Drosophila melanogaster: one gene and its partners. The protein of the gene in region 1 interacts with the protein of each later gene in a pairwise test. Each region holds a gene or a part of one and is shown in the gene's direction. Other genes may lie near its edges.

Region 1 (5,589 bases):
CATCTTGGAGCTTCATACTTGTTTTTTTTTTTCACCGATGGAGGCTCTTTGTGCTTCATCCGGAGGGGAGTATGTGTGAAGAGTAGGCTGATCAAACAGGCTTTGGGAAAACGGCAACTAAGTGGCAAATGCGACGCAGTTTCAACTCGAATCTAAATATGTAAGTATACACATACGTATGTACATATGTAGGTGTTGCCGCATACATATTATCAATTAGCAGTTCAGAACAGTTCACTGGCTAAGCAGATCGCTGATAACGTGGTCGAGAATCGGCGCAAACACGCGCCGCCCTCGGGAGCCATGGGAAATAGTTAAGTTGTTTGGGACTCCGCCGGGCCTTCTGGGCTCCGATCAATGGGTTAGTCGGACGTGGCCAGATAAGCGGGCTGCGGACCTTGAAGAGCACCAAATGCAAAGTGAACCGAGACTAATAACCGGGCGAGGTCAACCCATTGTAGCCAACCATCCAACTGACCTACCTTAAATGCTTAGTTCACTCGACTTCGAAAGGGACGTGACTCCTGGGGCTTCACTCCAACTCCAGTTGCTGCGCTTGCTCTGTTTTTTTTTAGTGCACTCAAACGAAAAAAACTCGATCACCTGCAGTCGCGAGGAGAGAACTGTGAACCGTTTTGCACAATGTCTGCGATCGCACTGAAAACGAAACAAGGCACGGCGTCGGCATCGAGTGTTTTTAGTTTTAATCAATTTTAAATGCGAAGGCGTCGTGTTTTGCCGCTGTGTGAGTGGCTACCACGCAGCACACACACATGGGAAAGCCGCTCGTGCACTGGAAGAAATGGCACGGATCTGAAATGGATTTAGGTACAAGTTTCCTATTCATTCAGTTAATATATCCAGAAAACATAAATACTAAATGCTACTGCTTAACTTTGGGTACATTAAATTCAATTCCTTGTAATGAAATAACTAGGTACATACGCATTGTTTGGAATGTGCTTGTTTCTCCAAGTGTACGTCATATGTGCGGTGTAGCAATGAGTAGTATTTCCAAGAGTTTCTTGGGGTGCTGCCATAGTCTGGAAAGCGTCTGGTTTCTACATCTGTGGTACACTGGTACCAAACATTTGTTTGTTTTGATCGCCGTTTCTTTTAGTTGCTTTCATACATATGTTTTGGACTGTTTTGGCTAAATCTGTGCGGTGGATACACTTACCTTCTACCTGGTGTTCATCGCAGATCAGCCTTGTCCTCGCCGCACTTCCGCCCTCGCTCTTTGTCACTCTTCTCGGTCTTGCCTAGTCTTCCTTTCCACTTTTGCCTTTTTATTGTGCTCCGATGCATGTTGATTGTCGTGGACTTTGCACCCTCAGTTTTCCGCTGTTGTAATGCTCGTTTTACGCATTTACAGGAATATAGTCGACTAGGAAAGCACTCTTTACCCGTTTAATCTGGATTTGTCAGCCGATAATTCAGTGGAATTAATTCTGTTGAATTCATAAATAAATAGATAAATTGTATGATTCATTAACCTATTTATTAATTGGTTGATAGCTTTGGGATAGTGATTAAACTCAAGCAATTCACCGATGCAATCTATTGTCTTGAAATGATAAGAATTGAAAGAATGTTGCTATGAATTTAAAAATCTTTAATGAGTGGCTGCCACTTTAATCTAATTCCACGTAATCTTAACTTTCTGAAGGTGCTGGAAACCCATGACACTTTAATTTTCAGAACATTCAACCTAACTATAAATTCAAATCGAGTGGCAGCTCCGATAACGGTCACAGCTGCTAAGACCAGGGCGGCACACTGTGTGCTGTCGCCCGATAACTTCTTTGTTTTGAACTCACGGGAAAGCAACCCTGCGTGTGCTCTCGCCAATTGGAACTGCGAATATACTGCCTGTGTATATATGTAAATGTTTATAATTAGCAATTTTTCTACGAAACAAACGATTAAATAATGCAGTTTTCTGCCTACTAAATGCCAAATACAACACACAGACTTCGAGCCACGAACGGTGATGTGATCAGAGTACTAGAGTAATCCAACGAAAAACGCGAGTCCATTTTAAAGCGAAGTATAAAGTGCCAAACAAAGGGAGCAGTCGAACCCAGTCCAAATCCAATCATTATACTCGGTCCGTGACCTGCCGACGAGCCAGCGAGTACGGCAATAAGCATGGGCAACGCCAGCTCCTCCGTGCACATGCAACGCGAGCGCCACAAGTCGACCGACTTGTCCACGCCGAGCTCTCCCGCACATTTCCGCGATTCGATTGGTGGAGGAGGAGCGGGACAGGGCGGGAGTGCTGGCGCAGCAGCTCTGGGCGCTGCAGCGGGGGCGGTGGGAGCTGCGGGGGGTGGAGGAGGAGGCGGCGGAGGCCAAGCTTTCTCGTTCGACAAAAAACATACGGCAGTCTTGAACGAGGGCTCGTCGCAAGAAGACGACGACCCGTACTACACGGGAACTGGAACTGGATCCACTAGACGAGGCACCGCACACGACGACGCGACATCAGCTGTTACCCGAGACCACTCCAGCATGGACAACAACGAGGAGGAGGAGGAGGCAGCGGTAGGAGCGGAGCCAGCGACTGGATCTCAGTTAACCGGCGATGAGGACGACATCCGGAAGACGGCACTGCCCACAGTTCTGCGGTGGGACGGCGGCGGCAAGAACGTCACCATCTCGGGCACATTCTCCGATTGGAAGCCCATGGCCATGGTGCGCAGCCATCAGAACTTCGTGACCATCATAGATCTGCCGGAGGGCGACCATCAGTACAAGTTCTGCGTGGACGGCGAGTGGAAGCACGATCCCAAGCTGGTCAGTTGGGCGGAAAATCAATATATGCAGCAGGCTATTCAGTGTTTTTGATTCGGGCGCCCGAATGACGCAGTTACCGATTTTCGCCCCGGGTTGTGTAATCGCCGTAAACAAAACGAAGTCTCCCAGTAATCGTAGTGGATTTCAATTGGGTTCAGAGATGCTCATCCGGCTTTAGCTTTTTTTTTGTTTTTTTTTTGAGGAACCCCGTTCAAATGCTTCGCAAATAACAAATGCAATTAAAGTTACAAGTTTAAGGGAGCAAACTGCGATAAAACCCATTTGTAGATTACTACTAAATCCGGTTGGATGTCGCTAGTTTTGTGGACACAGTTTATCTAAGTGACCATTGAACATTGCTATCAGGCGAACAATTTGAACTATAGAAAAGATTTAAGGGAATAGTAACGTTTTCTTAGATAAAATATTTTTCTGGATAACAAAGTTCAGGACTGTGATAGAATATATGACCTACTTCGCAATGTTAAAATAGTTGCAGAATTGCATGAAGACGAAAAGCAATCAGAAATGAATTACTAAATGCACAGACTTTAAATCTTTATTAAGAATAGTTCACGAAGCTCACGTATTTAAACCATAATGGTTTTAATGACTAATAAATAATGTAGTTTATCTGACATTTAAATTAGTAAGCAAAACGAAAGCAAACCATTGAACAAATTTTTGTATTATATATATATGTAGCAAGCCAAATTGTTGTATATAATTCAAAATTGCTCGAAACAAGTAGCAACAGTACGTTATTAATTATAGAAAGCAGTCATTGCCCAGCCACATTTTCATGAAGTATTGCCCAATTTTTGTTTTATCGCAAACTCAGCTATCAAGTTTCATGAGTTTTATTGAACTCAACCCGAGGCCTGCAGATATTGTCCCAATTGCCCAAACTATTGTTACAGACAATTTGATTATAGCTTATCGGTTTGCTATTTTAGAAAAGCGTGGAGAACGCCGAGGGACAGAGAAATAACTTAGTGTCCGTGCGAGAATCCGATTTCGAGGTGTTCCAGGCCCTAGCCAAAGACAGCGAGAACGTGACCAACTATGCGGAGAAGGAGTACTCGCAGGAGGTGCCGCAGGTGAAGCCCTGGGAGAAGGTATCTGGCCCGCCCGTTCTGCCGCCCCATCTGCTCCAGGTCATCCTCAACAAGGATACACCGCTATCGGTGGGTATTGTCGCTGTCTCGAGAGCTACCGACCGTAACCTTACCCTATTCTGTTTCAGTGTGAACCCACTCTGCTGCCGGAACCCAACCACGTGATGCTTAACCACTTGTACGCCCTGTCTATCAAGGATGGCGTCATGGTCCTGAGTGCCACGCACAGGTATCGCAAGAAGTACGTCACCACGCTGCTGTACAAGCCCATTTAGGCAACTCGCAATTGGTATTTTAGCTGTAGGAACATGGTTTTTATGAGGGATACCACGTCCCGCTTGTCAAATTTACCTTATTATGAGTAAAAGTGTTTTAGTTTTCTCTCTATTAAGCGTTGTATTTTTATTAGTTATAAATATACGGAACTTGTAAAAATATAAGATTATTGCATTGTGTCATAATTTGTAATTTGTATTTGAATTTACTACGAATCGTACAGCTTATTTGCAATTTCAACCTGATATGTCACTAAAGTCACGATCTAAGAGTAATTTAAGCAACTATGCATATTGACTGACTGATAATTTGGTTCCCTGTTCGCTGTATATAAGTATAACAACACTTTGGATTTTGATCAACGTTTCATATCACATGTGTACAAGAGTCTTCGCCGACGGCAATCTATCGGAATACAAACATTCTCGTATATCTACGTGTTCAACTGGACAAAAACTGAACTAGACTAGCGGACCGACCGACCGACCGACCGACCGACCAGCTTCACATCAGCTTGACCTTGTGGTCCAACTGATCGGCGTCGATCTTCTTGGCGAACAGCACCGGTGACGAGGAGGCCAGCGCCACCGTCTGCTTGGCCAAGAATCGCTCGTGCATCTTGTTGGCCGTGTGCTGGAACTCGCCATCCTCGTCGAACAGCGCCTTGGTGAAGTACTCCGTGAAGAGGCGGCCCATGTACTGGTCTTTGGTGGACGGCCACCAGCCCTCGAGGAAGCCGATGTGCCCGCCACGAGCCGTAATCACGATGGCCACATGGGTGCACTGGTTGGCCGCCTTGATGGGAATGGCATCCAGTGGCTGGAACGGATCATCGGCGGCGCTCAGGCAAAGCAGCGGCACCGAAATGTGATCGAGTTTGTTGTGCAACGTGGCATCCGAGTAATAGTCATTCACATGGGCATATCCGAACTGCTTAGCCGTAAAAAGCGCGTCGAACTCTTTGATCGTCTTGCAGCGCAGAATGCGCTGAATATCAATGTCAGAGTCCTGGTAAATATCCCTGTAGATGTCCAGGTGATTGCGCAAGGTTCGGCATAGGCTTCCAGCCAAGTGGCGTCCCAGCAGGCTGTTGATCACTGGCTTCTCGATGCTAGCGCTGCCCTTGTGGACGTCCCAAGGGACAGATATTATCTTTGCAGCCGAAAGGAAGCTCCTGGCCTCGTCGCTCTTGCGGGCTAAATAATTGCCCAGAATCAAGCCGCCCATTGAGATCCCAGTGGCTCCCAGCTTGCATTTTTCGGGCAAAGTGCGTCGCACATGCTGGACGACCTCGCACAGATCCTCGCAGTTGGCGGCGCAGTAGAGACGCGGTGTCTTCAGCTCTATGCCGCCGAGTCCGCGGTTATTAAACACCACCACTCGCATGCCAGCCTGC
Region 2 (6,729 bases), on another chromosome or scaffold:
GCATATTAAATTTGATAAAAATTAAGTGCTTACCGAAAATGAACCACATACGAGTTAAAAGTCAATTTACATTACATCGTGTAAAATCGGATGCAATTCATGTAGAATATAAAATGACAGCACTCTTTTGCGCGCACATGCCCTAACCCAATGTTCCTCCTCCATCTTTCAGCGATTATGACCTATTGCTGGTGCGTGGTCTATAGTGAATACGCCAACCTGTCCGAGGAGAACGAGCGCGGTCGTTACAACAAGCAGCCGTACCGTCGCTAGAATCTCCAGGAGCACTATTCATCAGAAATTGCATTCAAGAAGCTGAATCCACCACCCACACATCTTCATCCTAGCTTCCTATGTTCGTTTTTAGTGATTATGTCTAACTAATAATTATAATTTAGTTGAGGCGAGCCAGCCCTTCGCTCACATCGAATTTACGCGGCCCGTGGCATTAAGTGCAATGGAATTATGTATTTAACATTTAAATAAAACTTTAATCCAGATATTATGTGAATTTCTGTTGTAATTTGTACGTAATACTTGTAATTGTGAAAGAGGAGTTCAAAAACCGAAAACTAATAACAAAAATAAAAACAAACTATTTATCAACCGTTTGAGAGGACGAGGTCTTGTGTGTTTGTTGTTTTTTATTTCAAAATATAGGTTTTATCTTTAGGCATATATAGTTATATTCAATTCTCTCAAAGTCTATCAAAATTGTAAATTAACTAAAAATATGGATGTGTAGGGGGCGTTTCATGTGGTTGTTGTTTTAGCTAAGTGGGCGTGTTCCATGTAACTACACAAGTAACTGACTGCGCTCTACAGCTCGCTGCGCGAGTACTTGGGCTTCAGCTCCTCGATACGCTTGATGAAGTCGCCCTTCTCCAGGCAACCGTCACAGCTCTCGTCCCAGTCGTTGAGGATTTTCTTCAGGTCGCGTACCTTCAGCTTCTTCAGGTCCACGCTGTTCAGATCGATTTGTTTCTCTGCAATGAACAATCCACATAAATAAATGTTTATAGAAGTATATTAAGGCGAAGAGCAGCGACAGAAAAGCTAAATGTTAAGCCAAGTTAAGAGTTTTTGTTTCTAATAGACACCCTAGATTAATTGACTCTTAGTAAATGACGATTAACGTTTTCTAATAATCTAAACCATTAACATTCATTTTACAAACAGACCTATCTCATAAAATGTAGAATTTTATGCGAGTTACCACAAAATAATTTAACAAGCTATGATATAATAGTAAAGCATACATGCGAAATTGTATTCCTGAATTCTTTCCTTTTGCCAAGAAATGCTAGGTGCTTCATATTGAATTCTGTATACCCACACTTCCTATATATGTATAGTTCCTAACTAAAATATTTACCATAGCGAAGGTCGCAGATTTGTGCGTCCTTCTTCTTCAGCTTCTCGCAGATCTTCTCAGCTGGCATGGACCAACTGAGGGGTTTGCTCAGCTCGTTGAGGATGCCCGTGGCGGATTCTTCCAGACCGCCGAGGTAGTAACACTACGAAGAAACGCATACGTGTATCATTTTTCCCAGAGAATAGGAAGTGAGGGAGAGGGGGCGGCACTTGTTTGCCGGCTACTCACGAATCTGTGTTCCTTGTTTTTCTGCGCTTTGCAGAACTTTTTGAAGGCCGTTTCGATCTGTTTGTAGTCCTTCTTGGTGGAGTCGTCCAGCGAATCTGCGAACCGCCTAACCGTCTTGACGCAAACTGCGGAACGAAAGAATGGAGCCCGGTGAAAATCTGTTCCAGAACATCTCAACCACTTACGTGGCCAATCACATACCTTCGCAGTCCTCCTCTTTCAGGGCCAGCGACGTTTGGGCCAACGTCGCCAGGAAGCCGATCACTACCACCATGTACCACGTCTTCATTTTGTTATTACTTCGACTGTGCTTGAGCGTACTTTAATTAACTGTACTGAATTCTTTGCATGCGATTTGATTTTGTCCCCGAATTGTTAGCGTTAGGTGGCCGTAGATATGGGTGTTCACCGATAGGTCAGGCATCGATAAAAGTACTCATTTATCGGCGGGGCAGCGCCACGTTTTCAAATTGGAAAACAACCGATATGGTCATACTATCGGGGTCCGGAATTTACTGGCTAACAGGTGTGGGGATCGCTCAGCTGCTCCGTTTTACGCAGAGGCACTCCTGCTCAGTTTTCAATCACGCGCGAATGCGAACGGAACTGCGCGTCGTGGAATTATTTAAATTAGTTAAAGCTAAGCAAATATGCTCGACTGCACGTTGCCCGTGACGTAGTCTTGGACTTAATCCTCTTCCAGTCCCTTAATATAGCACCGTATCTGTGTAATCGCCAACAGTATTGACCAAGTCGTCCAAGTGCTCACTACTCCCTCGGCTATTTGGAGTTATTGTAACCGTTGGCAACTGCCACAGCAAACGTATTTACAATTATCCGGATAAAATTTGCAATTACACACCTTGCTAAAAATAAAACGGAAAAGAAGCAGCCCATTATAATAAATCGTTTAAAATGCCTGATGTGAAGTTCTTTGCCGTGCTGCCCACCAATGCCAGTACCTCGGATCGAGTAACCCGGCTGTCCATCAGCGGCAACCTGCTCCAGGATCCCCAGCAGTGAGTCCTTTGATATTTCGCGTTTAAATTCCGCGAACTTTAAGAAAATCGATTAGCCACTTCCCGCGAACTGAGGTGGAGAAATTGCCTCTTTGCGTGCTGAAAATATAAATATAGTGTTCTTAAAATCGTTTACGTATGTGACCCGATTAGACGAAATACTCACCAAACTCGCGAACAATTTATGGCGCACACAAAAAACATGCAAATGGGCTCATGAATTTAAATAATTTATACTTCTTCTGCCAGATGATGTTTGTTTTTTATAAATTCCAAAGACCTCTTATGAGTTTATGATCTATTAGGGCGATAAGGCGGTGGTGATGGGACCATAAAGAAATCTCTGCCAGATGTATACGTAGTCGTCTGGTTTTACTGTATCAAGTCCATCGTATATGACATCACCAGACTAAAATTGAATCAGACACGCGCTGAAGATGCCGGCTATGAAGAAAACAACAAGCCAGTTGGATGGCAAAGAATAATACCATGAATTATGTATGCTTGAGGGTGGGAAGTTGTTAATCAGCTTATGAATGAATGGTCAAATGATGTCCATTAATCAGAACCATCAGTTACATCACTCAAGAATCCGGGTTTCTAATTGAACAATTTCAACGCAATTGATAAATCAAGACAATACATTTCTTATCTGTTCTTTAGATCGATAAGGTTCTAGTGATAGCTACCTAAATGTGTCATGATAATATTCCGTGACACTAGTAGCTCTTGTATTTCGATAAGGGGCATAACTTACTGGAAATTCCATAGCTTGACTAACGGATTTTTAACAATAAATCGCTGAAAATTCCAATTCCGTTCCTTGAATGCGCTGCACGTTTTCGCGCCTACTCACACTCACTATTAATGTCTGGGAGCTCCGGTCCCCAAAAACGAAAGAAAAAAACTCACCGAACCAGCATGTGCCATTTAAACAATTCTGATGACTAAGCGCTTGAGGGGGTCAAACAATCAAATAACGACGTCATTAGCACTGATATGTGATAAGTTATATCGCTTTAAGCGAGGGTACTACTAGTGCTTGTGATTTTATTGAATATAAAATATGCATATCATATTTACTTCATTCACACTTTGCTATTTACCGCCTTTGATCAAATGCATAGTGAAGACTATGTCGCTAGGCACGTATTAAGTTAATTTTTAGCTAGTAGCTAGTTCATTAGCACCTAAGTGAGACATATACATCTGATTTTTTTAACAAGCATTTGTATGTTTACCTCCGCTACAGATTCTCGGTGAACTTTGTCAACAGTCCGGACTGCACGGACAACATCACATACCACTTCAAGGTGGTGATTCCCACACAGACGATTATCGAGAATTATAAGCGGAACGGCGAGTGGAGCAGCCTGCACCAGGAGAAGTACCTGAACATCTTCGACGGTACAGGAGCTAGCGATAAGAACCCCAATATGACAGAAAGCTTTGCCCGCATTATAACCGAAATTGACGAGGCGCTCCAACTTTCATCCACAGAGTCCTCCTTTTGCCTTGAGTTCGCCTTCGACTACGCAAATTCAATGATGCGGGTGTACCAGGGTAGGGATTCGGGCCACAATTTCATAACCGAGTACGAGACTCTCTTCTCCCTGTCCGACATCCAGGCTGTACAGGTGTGGGGCGATGTACAGAAGGTCAACCAGTTTGCCCTAAGCTACAACTGATCGGGAGAAGAATCCCAAAGATCCCATGATCCCCAAGGTAGCCCGCAATGTTCTCTTATTTAATGCATTCTTTCTTCAATCGCATAGATTCAAGTTCGGTGGCGGGCGTCCTTAGTCCTAACACCGCACGACCTTAATCCCCTCACCTGTAGTTTTAATTAGTTTGTTGGATTCCGCACCCATCTAAATCACTTCGCTGCAGTAGCAACACGCTTTCACTCCTTCGCTTGTTAATGCGTTGAGTATCATTATAATTTGACTACAAGTTCTTGTTGATCGTGGGCTTAAGAAACATTTTCCCATCAAGATGATTGTGGTTTTTTAACAGTATTAAACCAATATTTATTTATTTGCAAAAATCTCAAAAATTTAATTGAAACACCTGTTTTCTTTACGTTCTATGTTAAATTGTTTAAAATTTTAAAAGTACTCAAAATTTTAATTGGCATTTGAATAGGTTTTATGCCCCATTTCTTGCAACATAAGGCAATATCATTTTCAATAGTATTGCTGGATTGCAGCGTTTTCCACTTATATCTTTATGATGCCGTAAGAGTTTGATAATATTCCATTGTTTGATAAACCAAATCAGCATTAACAAACACACATTCACGGACTACATACATACATATATATGTCAGTCACATATCACTCACCTCGGTGCTATCTGTCTTATGACGTCACTTTAGCTCTGCTATGTCCTATTGCTATCCTTTGCAGTTGCTAATTGTTTCTTTGTTTGTAGTTGATAGCAAACGTATTTGTAAGGCCAAAGAATTTTATGTATAATACACCTTGAGTTTCTGTTTCGCGCTTGCTAAAGTCTTCCATTCAGATTGTAAACCTACAATGTAAGTGTTAGCTTTACCTGTAATACCTACATACATATGTATACAGACCACGCCAAGTATTAAAAATCGCATGACAAGTGCGTTTTCCACAAATTAAATGCGTAAACACAAATTCATTGGAATTGGTATTCTTAAATGCTAATAAATTTTTGTTCGGAAACCGATGGGAAACATGCTTGCATTTGTTTTTCGTTTGTTCGCATGGTAGATTTAGAATTACGTGCTCTTTCGAAAATCTTTCAGAAATCTGGCCGACCCCTGGAATAAAATAACCGTCTGATATTCATACTTTCAGCGAGAAGAGTCTTACCAAAAATATTTGCGTAAACATTGGGGCCTGCCATCTGCTTTATAGCGCTACAAAACTAAAGGCTCCTATGCAATACCAAACGAAATACACATTAATTTTTTTGCCATAAATTATACATTATATTTATTTTTGCAATGGAATCATTTTCTTCACCCAAAAAAGGTATTTTTACCATTGTTTACAGCTACAGCTTGTACATACATAATAGATACACAGATATTTACAATGCCTTACAATTATCCTTAAAATAGGAATCTTTACACAAACGCTCTAGGGACTTATGCTAATAAAACTTTTGCGATTTACTGATAAAAAGAATAACACATATAACACTAAAATAAGTTAAGGAAATAAAAGAAACGTGAAAACGCGCTTCAAATTTGCTATAAATAATATTGCACAAAGAAAATTAAAAGGAAAATTTACCGAAAACTATACAATACAAGGAACTGGCGACCAGATGTTGGAATAGACCGCGGACTAGGATACGAGGTAAGGTGGATTCACTTTTCGAGCTTAAGGACTAATTACTTTGCGACTGATGCGCTGGGATTCTGGAACTGAGAAAAGCCCAGCTGGACGTAATTGGCCAGAGATCCGGGCATATTGGAGTCGGGAGCTTGTGTGATCGTTATTGTGTTTCCGGCCAGATCCTGGGTAGTCACAACATGCATTACCTGGGCCGGTGGCTGCTGTGTTTGCGTCTGCTGAGCAGAACGTTCTTGTTTGATTTCGAAAACCGCCTTGGATGCGATGAGAGGTCGGATTAGCACTTTTAAAATATGAATGGTATTACGGACTCACCTTATTGGGCACCTGACCATTGCTTCGAACGTGAGTTAGCGCAGGTGCTGCTGCAGGCGATGCAGTTGCACCCGGAGCCGCGCTTTCCGGTCGAATTTTCTTATGCATCTCCCGATGCTTCTCGTAGTGCAACTTGGTGGCAAAGTTTTTGTTGCAAACATCGCAACAGTATAAGGTTTCGGTTGATGTCTGCGTGTGAATTCTGAAAGAAAGGATATTTATGAATCTCTGTTGAATTTAACTAGATGTATATAAATGCTGACCGCCTATGCTTATTCAGGTTATCCTTTCGCGAGAAGGGCTTTTTGCACACCTCGCACGTGTACATCTTTTGTCCAGAATGGGATACTAAGTGCCGGGACAGGTGCTCTTTGCGGCTGAAGGTCTTGTCGCAACCCTCTTCCGAACACTTAAAGGGTCGCAGGCCCGCGTGCAGCTTAACGTGTTGGGTGAG
Region 3 (3,953 bases), on another chromosome or scaffold:
TGGACAAGGTGGCCAATGGTACGCACACGCCCATCATTCTGTGGACTAGTGGACTCACTGAGGAGCCCTTCATTGACGAGTATCTGAACCCAGAGCGTTACATCATTCAGATCTGGACCACTGGTGTAGATCCGAAGGTAAAGAAGATTCTGGAGCGGGGCTACAAGATCATTGTGTCCAACTACGATGCCCTGTACTTGGATTGCGGCGGAGCTGGCTGGGTGACCGATGGAAACAACTGGTGCTCCCCCTACATTGGCTGGCAGAAGGTGTACGACAATAGTTTGAAATCCATTGCCGGCGACTACGAGCATCATGTATTGGGCGCGGAGGGAGCCATTTGGTCAGAGCAGATCGACGAGCACACACTGGACAACCGCTTCTGGCCCAGGGCCAGTGCCCTGGCCGAACGACTTTGGTCAAATCCTGCCGAAGGTTGGCGCCAGGCGGAGTCACGTCTGCTGCTCCACCGCCAGCGACTGGTGGACAATGGTCTGGGCGCAGAGGCCATGCAGCCGCAGTGGTGCCTGCAAAACGAGCACGAGTGTCCCATTGACGCGTACGATGCACAAGTTTGACCAGCTATTAAACCATTTCTCTTAACGGTCGCTATCCTTGTAGATGTAGTCGGGGCAGCGGGCGGCTTGGGTTGATCGTCCTGTTGCTTCTCACAACGCTCTCTGCCTGAAAATAAAGTACAGCTCAAAGGTGGCCTTACGCAAGTGACTTGTCGTTTATTTTGTTAAATATAAATGAGATTATTGGCCCTGCTCTGCGCCCTTTTCCGATTCAAAGCGGCAGAATGTCGGAAATAGTGAGGGAAATCCGTACAGACTCGACGATTTTTTCGAATATGAACAGTAGCAGAGTTGGACATTTTACGCTTCAATGTGTGGGGTGAGGATTTGCGAGTGATGGTGTCCTCGGCCTCAAGCATAAACTCCTTGGACTCCTGATTATGTACGTAATGAGTCTAGATACTAAAAGCTGCGTTCCCTTGTGCAATAATTTGAATGGAAGCTTTACTCATTCCACTCTTCCTCGTTGCGTCCAAACTTGTAGACCAAACTGGCGAACAGGATGAAGACGTTTTGCATCAGCAGAGCCACGCCAAACCAGCCATCCTTCTTTTCTGAAAAACGATAAGTGGGTGCAATTCAGCTAAGGAATCCTTAAATATCTGTTTATTTCTCACCATTGTTGATGAAGTCGTCGATCATCACCCAGATGGCGGCAATGATGGAGGCAAAACCCATTAGGAAGCCCACAAGCAGCCAGATCTTCGCTATCCTGGCGCCGGACTCCGATGAGTTCTCATCAGAAATCTGCGCACAAACAAAAGAAGTGAGTCACTTGTTAAGCCCAATGATAAGTGTGTGTTACATGTTCTCCCTTCACTGCGTTCACCATGCAGAAGCTGATGGTCCCGAAGATGCCGATGAAGACGTGTCCTGTGGTAATCTGGTGCTTGCCGTCGATGGACATGGCATCGATTAGAACCCACCATCCTGCGAAAAACTAAGGAGAAAAAGTTGCACTGTCAGGCGGGCGGCTCTTTGTTTGCGGGTGTTAGCCTACCAGAAGTCCGGCTATTATGGAGGTGTTCCTGTTCCTGGACGCATCCCCCGTGAAATGCAACGCAATATTGTCCAACACGCCCATTGTTTAGGTTTTAAAACGTAATTAAATTTATTCCACTCTTAAATCTTCTTGTTTTGACGCACAGGGTTGTCTGTCTGCAGGTGAATACAGGGTTTCTTCACTCGCTGTAGCAACCCTGTTTCAGTATTTAGTGTGTTCACACCTGAACTGCAGCAGTAACATATACTTTTTGTGTAACACAAATTAACTCCGTTATAAAAAGAAAGTTGCTGTTAATTAAATATTTTGTGCAATAATTTGTGCAAACATTTAAATGTTTAACTTTAAAATTACTGCTTATGCAGTTTGTTGTTGTTTTTTAGTACGTTAAAGGCACGACGTCTTTTTCAGAAAGTCCAATACGGTCACACACAACTTCACGTTTAACAAAATTTAATTGATTTCCTTATTATTTAACAACCGATCGCAGCGACACGAGTGGGTGCGTGTTGTCAGTTATAGTAAGAGATTGCAAAGGAATCCTAACCAGAATGCTAGTCATAAACTCATGCAGAGCTGCCTCCAGATTGGCGCTACGCAGCCTCAATTTGCGATCGCCGATCGCAACGCGTACTTTCTCGACGGGATTGGCCCTGAAAACGAAAGATGTGTGAGTATCTTCTCCACCCCACGAGCACTACAATGGTAGCTCCACACCGCCAGAGCAGCGTAAACATTGACCAATCTCGCTATTGCAGTGTTAACATAACCTTCGTGCGTGCCAATGGGGACAAGATTAAGACGTCCGGAAAAGTGGGTGACTCCCTGCTGGACGTGGTGGTCAACAACAATGTGGATCTGGATGGTTTCGGGGCCTGTGAGGGCACGCTGACCTGCTCCACCTGCCACCTGATCTTCAAGACCAGCGATTTCGAGAAACTGCCCGACAAACCCGGTGATGAGGAGCTGGACATGCTGGATTTGGCGTACGAACTGACGGACACCTCGCGGCTGGGCTGCCAGATCACCCTGTCCAAGGATATGGAGGGCCTGGAGGTACATGTGCCCTCCACCATCAATGACGCACGTGCCGCGTAGATAGACACCACCACTGTTATCAATTGTTACAAATTTGAGTGCTAATTCGCTTTAGTTCAACCTAGATGTAGTCAATATTTTTGAACGAAATCGTATGTATTGTCCCAGGGACACAAACCTCAGGCGGCTATAATGGATGCGCGCATTAATCCGATTCCAGTTGCGGATTAGCGTCCGCTGTTGTTTTTAAAGTGTTTAAGCTCAAAGGGATTAGATCAATATGTAAATAAGTGTGTTGCAATAAATTTACATGTATTTTCGTACTTCTCTTGGTTTTATTGAAACTGTGGAGGAAAGCATCCAGCGTAGATATCATTTTTAACCAATAATTCATTTGCCTTTTTAATTCTATTGGCAAAACTAGCCGATTTTAAATCGGTCATTCTTGTTTTTTAAATATCTCAGCTAAAAAGTGTTTTTCTGCGTGTATTCATGATCTCGAAGTTGTGCTCGGCAAATAAACAGGCACACGCAAAGATTTTCCTCGGCATCATAGTTCTAATAAAAGTGTGTAGTATACTTTTGAACACAGGTTTATGATCATTAGTTAGCAAATTCAAGATGATCGTATTTTATATTCCTATTTGCCTCGCTTGTATGACAATGCGAACCATATTATTCTTTATTCTATTCATTCGTTTTGCCAAACTTGTTTTGTTTATACCAAAACTTCCAGTCACGGCCAACACAAGGGCTGTTATCAAAGCCCCCCACACAAACATTTCATCACACTGATAAAGTTTGCATTAGCTTTGTTTGCGTTTCCTTATCAGTCGTTCCCAAGCTCCGATAATCAGAGGTACTATTAGAACGCATTAAAACACTTGTCGCTTAATAAAAGTAAACTTTTTATTATTTCGCAGCTATCAAATAAAGTAATAAATAAATAATTTAATATATACATTTGCTATATTAACTTATTGTAAACGATTTTCTGCCTTTCCATGTTTGCCGCTTCATTACTTCGTTTGTGTTTATTTTCTCGATATTATTAACTTGCATATTGTAACATTCGAGGCTAATCTGTTCGTTCAGATGGCCTCAAATCCCGCGTAGGTATAACTGAAACTTAACAAGTCTGACAATTCAATTTCGCTTTGCCTAAAACTAGGGAAACATATGAAGGATAGAGCGTAGTGGTAAAGTAGGAAACCATTTGAAAGTGGCGGATTGTGGGATCTCAATAAATAACCAAAGAATAAATAGTTATGGGATGGGGGGTGCCTATGGGGAATGGGTTTGGAATGAGTGTTTCTGAAGTGCACATAAAACTG
Region 4 (4,143 bases), on another chromosome or scaffold:
CGCGTCCACGGATCTCCCAATACGGTTATTGCCTGGGATTACACCAATCAAGTATACGAATCCCGCTCCAAGCCGGTGAAAAGTCTGCAAAAGCAGCGCATCTACATAGAACTGTTGCGTGAGGATGAATCAAAGATTCGAAAATTCGGACATGATGTTTTTGTGTCACGTCTAACGATAGTTAATGCCCGTAAGAGCGATGAGGGCGTCTATACCTGTCTGGCGGAAAATCCCGGTGGCAAGGATTCGGTTCACATAAGTGTGGTGGTGCAAAAGGATATGGAAAGGATTTCCCTCATCGACAGCAACTTCTTTGCAATAGTCTGCCTTATAGCCATGGGTTTTCTCAGCATGTCGATTCTATTTTCGTTGGTAACATGCCTAATATTTAAGAGATTCAAGCAGTTCCATCCCGGCCAGCACACTTATTTGCAACCCACTAGTTTGCCCGTTCAGTCACCTGGCAGTGAAGAAGCCACCGCCATCAGCGCCCTAAGTTCTGGAGTTATAAGGGAAAGTAAAATAGTGCTGGATCCATTAAGTGCTATCAATGAACCATCAAATAAAAATTACACTTTATTTAAAACATCCAATTCGAATGGCAGCGAGTATATGCACACGAGAAATTATAAAGACGTGAGATTAAACAGCAACACATATACTGAAAATCTAGACAATCAGGCGGAATCCATTTCATCGCGGAATCGGGAGCTCTATTCAAATATAGCTGGTGACCGGGAAAAGGAAGAGCTCAAACAGAAAGGCAATAAAATGCCAAATAAAATTAGTGCTCAAATTTTAACTTATTCTTGTTTTTCTCCTACTTAGATGAGCTCGATAAGGATTCCCGGCAGAGTTCCTTGCAATCAACAGGCTGCTCAAGAAAGAAGGGACAAATCGATGAACTCCAACCGGACCTTTTGCCTTCCACTCAACCTACTGCCTTAAAAAATATTAATGAAACTTTCGGTCCATCAGCGAAAAAAGCAGAAGTTAATCCCCGAAGCAAGTACAATACCAATGTGCAAAAGTACCTAAAGGAGAAGTACGGCAGTGTTAGAATAAAGAATATCAGTACTAAAGAACCCATTACTGGTGTTGATATCTCAATATAATATATTAATGTTTTATAATATGGCATTTCCCACCATACACAGCTGCGAATCCACCGTAAACCCCATGCCATTGAAATTTTAGTCTTTGCCAGGATTTCAATTCATATCCAGCCCTACCTCTCTAAGACCTCCAGGAGATAGATGGACAAAGGAGATCCAGTCAAGAAGAAATATACCTCGCCTTATTTCTGGTAGTAAATTATGTATTTTAAAACGTTACTAATATATAAAAATATTTATTTACACAGTTCTAAGTGTTTTAACCCACGCACTTTAAGTGAAAGGAATGTAATAATAAAGTTTTAAGTGATGCCTTTAAATGAAAAATGTGTAGCTTACTTGAATTAATCTTATATTATCATCGAATTCTAAAAAGCATTTTTAGTAAATCGTTTGATTTTATTTACCTGACCCACTTTTACCGTACTCTACGTTCTATCATCCCTGACCTACCCCGAATTCATTCTTGTGTGTGCTACAATTCCCAACTGCTTCTGGCCGTTTGCTCATGGAGACCCTTTTCGTTTTCCGTTTCAAGTTATCGCTTCTCGGCCTTATGGCTAAGATCAAAGTGTAGTATCTGTTCTTATCAGCTTAACATCTGATAGTTCCTCCATTGGAGGACAACAAATGTTAAACTGATTTTTGGAATCAGACGGAGTGCTAGGGGCTTGCTCCACCTCTGTCGCGGGTTGGCCCGGTATTGCAGTACCGCCGGGATTTCGGCCCAACTGAATAATAAATATTTAACTATTATAAAATCAAAAGGATCTACTTGTCAACACAGTAGACTTTCAAAAGTTGCTAGTATCTGTCTATCTGTCTAGTTTCTTATCAAAATTATGTCGTTTTGGCAAGCCTGATTACCTACCACAATGACTGCGCCATTTACCTCGCGTACCAACCAGGCCGCCGATTCCGGCAAAGATCAATCTCCCATCCATGGATTGAGCCGGAATCGAAAGCGTCAGGAGAGGCGAAAGCAGCGCCTGCAGGAAATGCAAGATTTGCTGTACACGAAACACTTTTCCAACTACAGACTGCCGGCATCGGTGGCCGCGCCAGCTCCCGAGGATCAGCTGCTCCTCAAACTGCAGAACTTCGAATCGCTGACCGAGCAGCCGTCCAGCAGCAGGAAGAGCACTGCGACCACATCTAGCGATTCGCCGTGGAGCCGACTGCGCCTGGTGGCATGCCCATGTCACGGATGCCTATGCTCGGTTGACCCCAGCGCTCTGTTGGGTCACTATTTGAGTGACCATCTGCCGGGAATGGGAGTTCCGTTTTATGAACTGGAAATGGGCAAGCGAGTGTCACTAACATGTCATATTAGTAGCCTGGAAAGAGATGTCAACACCCTGCTGGGGGTCTATGGCTATCGGCGCACTGGCCTTAATCCTCTGAAATGTCACCGAAACACCCATCTGCCAGTGGAGTACCGCCGCTTCTCGCAGCATAGCGCCCTTATGATCTTCGCCTGCCGCACCATGCACTCGGTGCTGTGGGAAAGGAAGCGTGTCAAACACGAAGTCCTGGCCATCTGGGTGGCTACTCCTTTGCACGGCGTGGCCATCACTCTGCGCCTGCTGGTCCAACCTGCCAACCTGCCACGTTACTACACCAGACAGATAAAAGCTCGTCCAATGCTGCCACTGTCGTCGAACCAATCCTGCAGTGAGTTCATCAAGACCGACAGCAACGTGATCCTCATCAGCTTGAATGACCTCCGGCCACTAATGGATTTAGATGTTTGGCAGCAATCGCTAACCGTCGAACTGAAAGTGATTAGCGAGGCAAGTATATAAAACTTCCGGTTTTTTTTTTTTTTGGAATTCGCAATATTTTTGGCCATGTATTTAAGTCTAAGATTAAACAAGGAAACATAAAACTTGAACTCGCACTTACTATATGCATTAATAAATTAGGACAAAGTATCAGAGATTACATTTGATAAAAGCAGCTACTTCCTGATCCAGGCATCCTACTTCCGTTGCTGAATATATATACATACAAGTCGTACAAGGCTTTTCAATTCGGCAACAGTTTGGATAACATGCTATTCGTACAATTTTGTTGTTCCTCACACTTACATCGTACTTTAAAGGGAATTTACAAATTTTGAGCTTACATACATAAAATTTAGATTTTAAATATTCTACGTTAATGTGTTAGAAATATATAATTATGTGTATAACCTTATATCATTAAGGCGCATGTGCAGATATTCTAAAATTGTACTAGAAATCGAGAGAGCGGTGCGCTGAATCCTCAGGCAGCGTCGCTTCGCTTTTTACGCAACAAAAAATTAAAGCGCCATCATCAGGGGACGACATACTAAACAAGACAAACTAAATAAAACAAACTAAAAGAACGCAACTAGAAAATAAAAAACATCCGTCTAGTGTGAGAGGTCGGAATCTGGTTCCGGCTAGCCGGCCTTTTGGGTCTGTTTTTGGCGTTGAAGTGCCTCAAAGGCTTCGATTTCCTTCTTTTCTTTGGCCTGATTGCGACGCTCATATTCCAGTCGGTGCGAGATGATGCGCTCCACGATGCGCTCCGTGGTCATCTCGTTGCCGGAATCGATCAGCTCAAAGATGGCTCGCGTCTTGGGAACGGCATATGGATCGATCTTGCCATTCTCAAGCGCAATGGGTGTGCGTCCATGACAGACAACATCGATTTTGAAGTGCTCAAGCAGCTCTTCAGTGACACAGTAGGGAGCTCCGATTACTACCTCATTGACAAACTGGGGGAAAAAAGAAGTTTTAAAATGAGATAATATTTAAAAAAAAGAATCTATTGCAATCCTACCTTGCAGGCCAAAACACTGAGCACGCGCTCGTGCAGATTCATAATGGGATAGTTGCTGCCCTTGTAGGAGTTCACCACGGGATCTGTGTGCAGGCCAACAATCAGATAGTCACCCAGTTTCTTAGCCTTTTCCAGAAAGTCCAGGTGACCCACATGGAAGAGATCGAAGGCGCCAGCCACATAAACCTGCAAATACCGACAATTATGAATTATACAT

Evidence for each region.
Region 2: the proteins of alc (region 1) and CG14879 interact in a two-hybrid assay, tested with the Drosophila melanogaster proteins (one large-scale study listed by BioGRID).
Region 3: the proteins of alc (region 1) and Fdx2 interact in a two-hybrid assay, tested with the Drosophila melanogaster proteins (one large-scale study listed by BioGRID).
Region 4: the proteins of alc (region 1) and CG15482 interact in a two-hybrid assay, tested with the Drosophila melanogaster proteins (one large-scale study listed by BioGRID).

Annotation. Positions count from the first base shown.
Region 1 is NT_033778.4:9,134,162-9,139,750, reverse strand, and holds alc (alicorn), read left to right. Parts: upstream 1-1,817; 5' UTR 1,818-2,151; coding exon 2,152-2,799; intron 2,800-3,755; coding exon 3,756-3,986; intron 3,987-4,045; coding exon 4,046-4,192; 3' UTR 4,193-4,376; downstream 4,377-5,589. Other genes in the region: Hydr1 (alpha/beta hydrolase 1), read right to left, coding at 4,698-5,589.
Region 2 is NT_033777.3:16,344,674-16,351,402, reverse strand, and holds CG14879 (uncharacterized protein), read left to right. Parts: upstream 1-2,176; 5' UTR 2,177-2,518; coding exon 2,519-2,622; intron 2,623-3,874; coding exon 3,875-4,310; 3' UTR 4,311-4,347; exon of another isoform or gene 4,348-5,270; intron 5,271-5,404; 3' UTR 5,405-5,578; downstream 5,579-6,729. Other genes in the region: CG10311 (uncharacterized protein), read left to right, coding at 173-273; Manf (mesencephalic astrocyte-derived neurotrophic factor), read right to left, coding at 820-986, 1,376-1,517, 1,604-1,728, 1,805-1,892; pad (poils au dos), read right to left, coding at 5,999-6,214, 6,276-6,477, 6,539-6,729.
Region 3 is NT_037436.4:4,290,492-4,294,444, forward strand, and holds Fdx2 (ferredoxin 2), read left to right. Parts: upstream 1-1,990; 5' UTR 1,991-2,132; coding exon 2,133-2,251; intron 2,252-2,339; coding exon 2,340-2,679; 3' UTR 2,680-2,941; downstream 2,942-3,953. Other genes in the region: Hexo1 (hexosaminidase 1), read left to right, coding at 1-559, 622-688; CG15012 (uncharacterized protein), read right to left, coding at 1,023-1,132, 1,196-1,325, 1,384-1,518, 1,579-1,662. UniProt on the Drosophila melanogaster protein: Required for ecdysteroidogenesis in the prothoracic gland which is necessary for larval to pupal transition.
Region 4 is NT_033779.5:13,209,629-13,213,771, reverse strand, and holds CG15482 (uncharacterized protein), read left to right. Parts: upstream 1-1,957; 5' UTR 1,958-1,990; coding exon 1,991-2,920; 3' UTR 2,921-2,999; downstream 3,000-4,143. Other genes in the region: kek4 (kekkon 4), read left to right, coding at 1-763, 829-1,115; Pect (phosphoethanolamine cytidylyltransferase), read right to left, coding at 3,544-3,861, 3,927-4,112.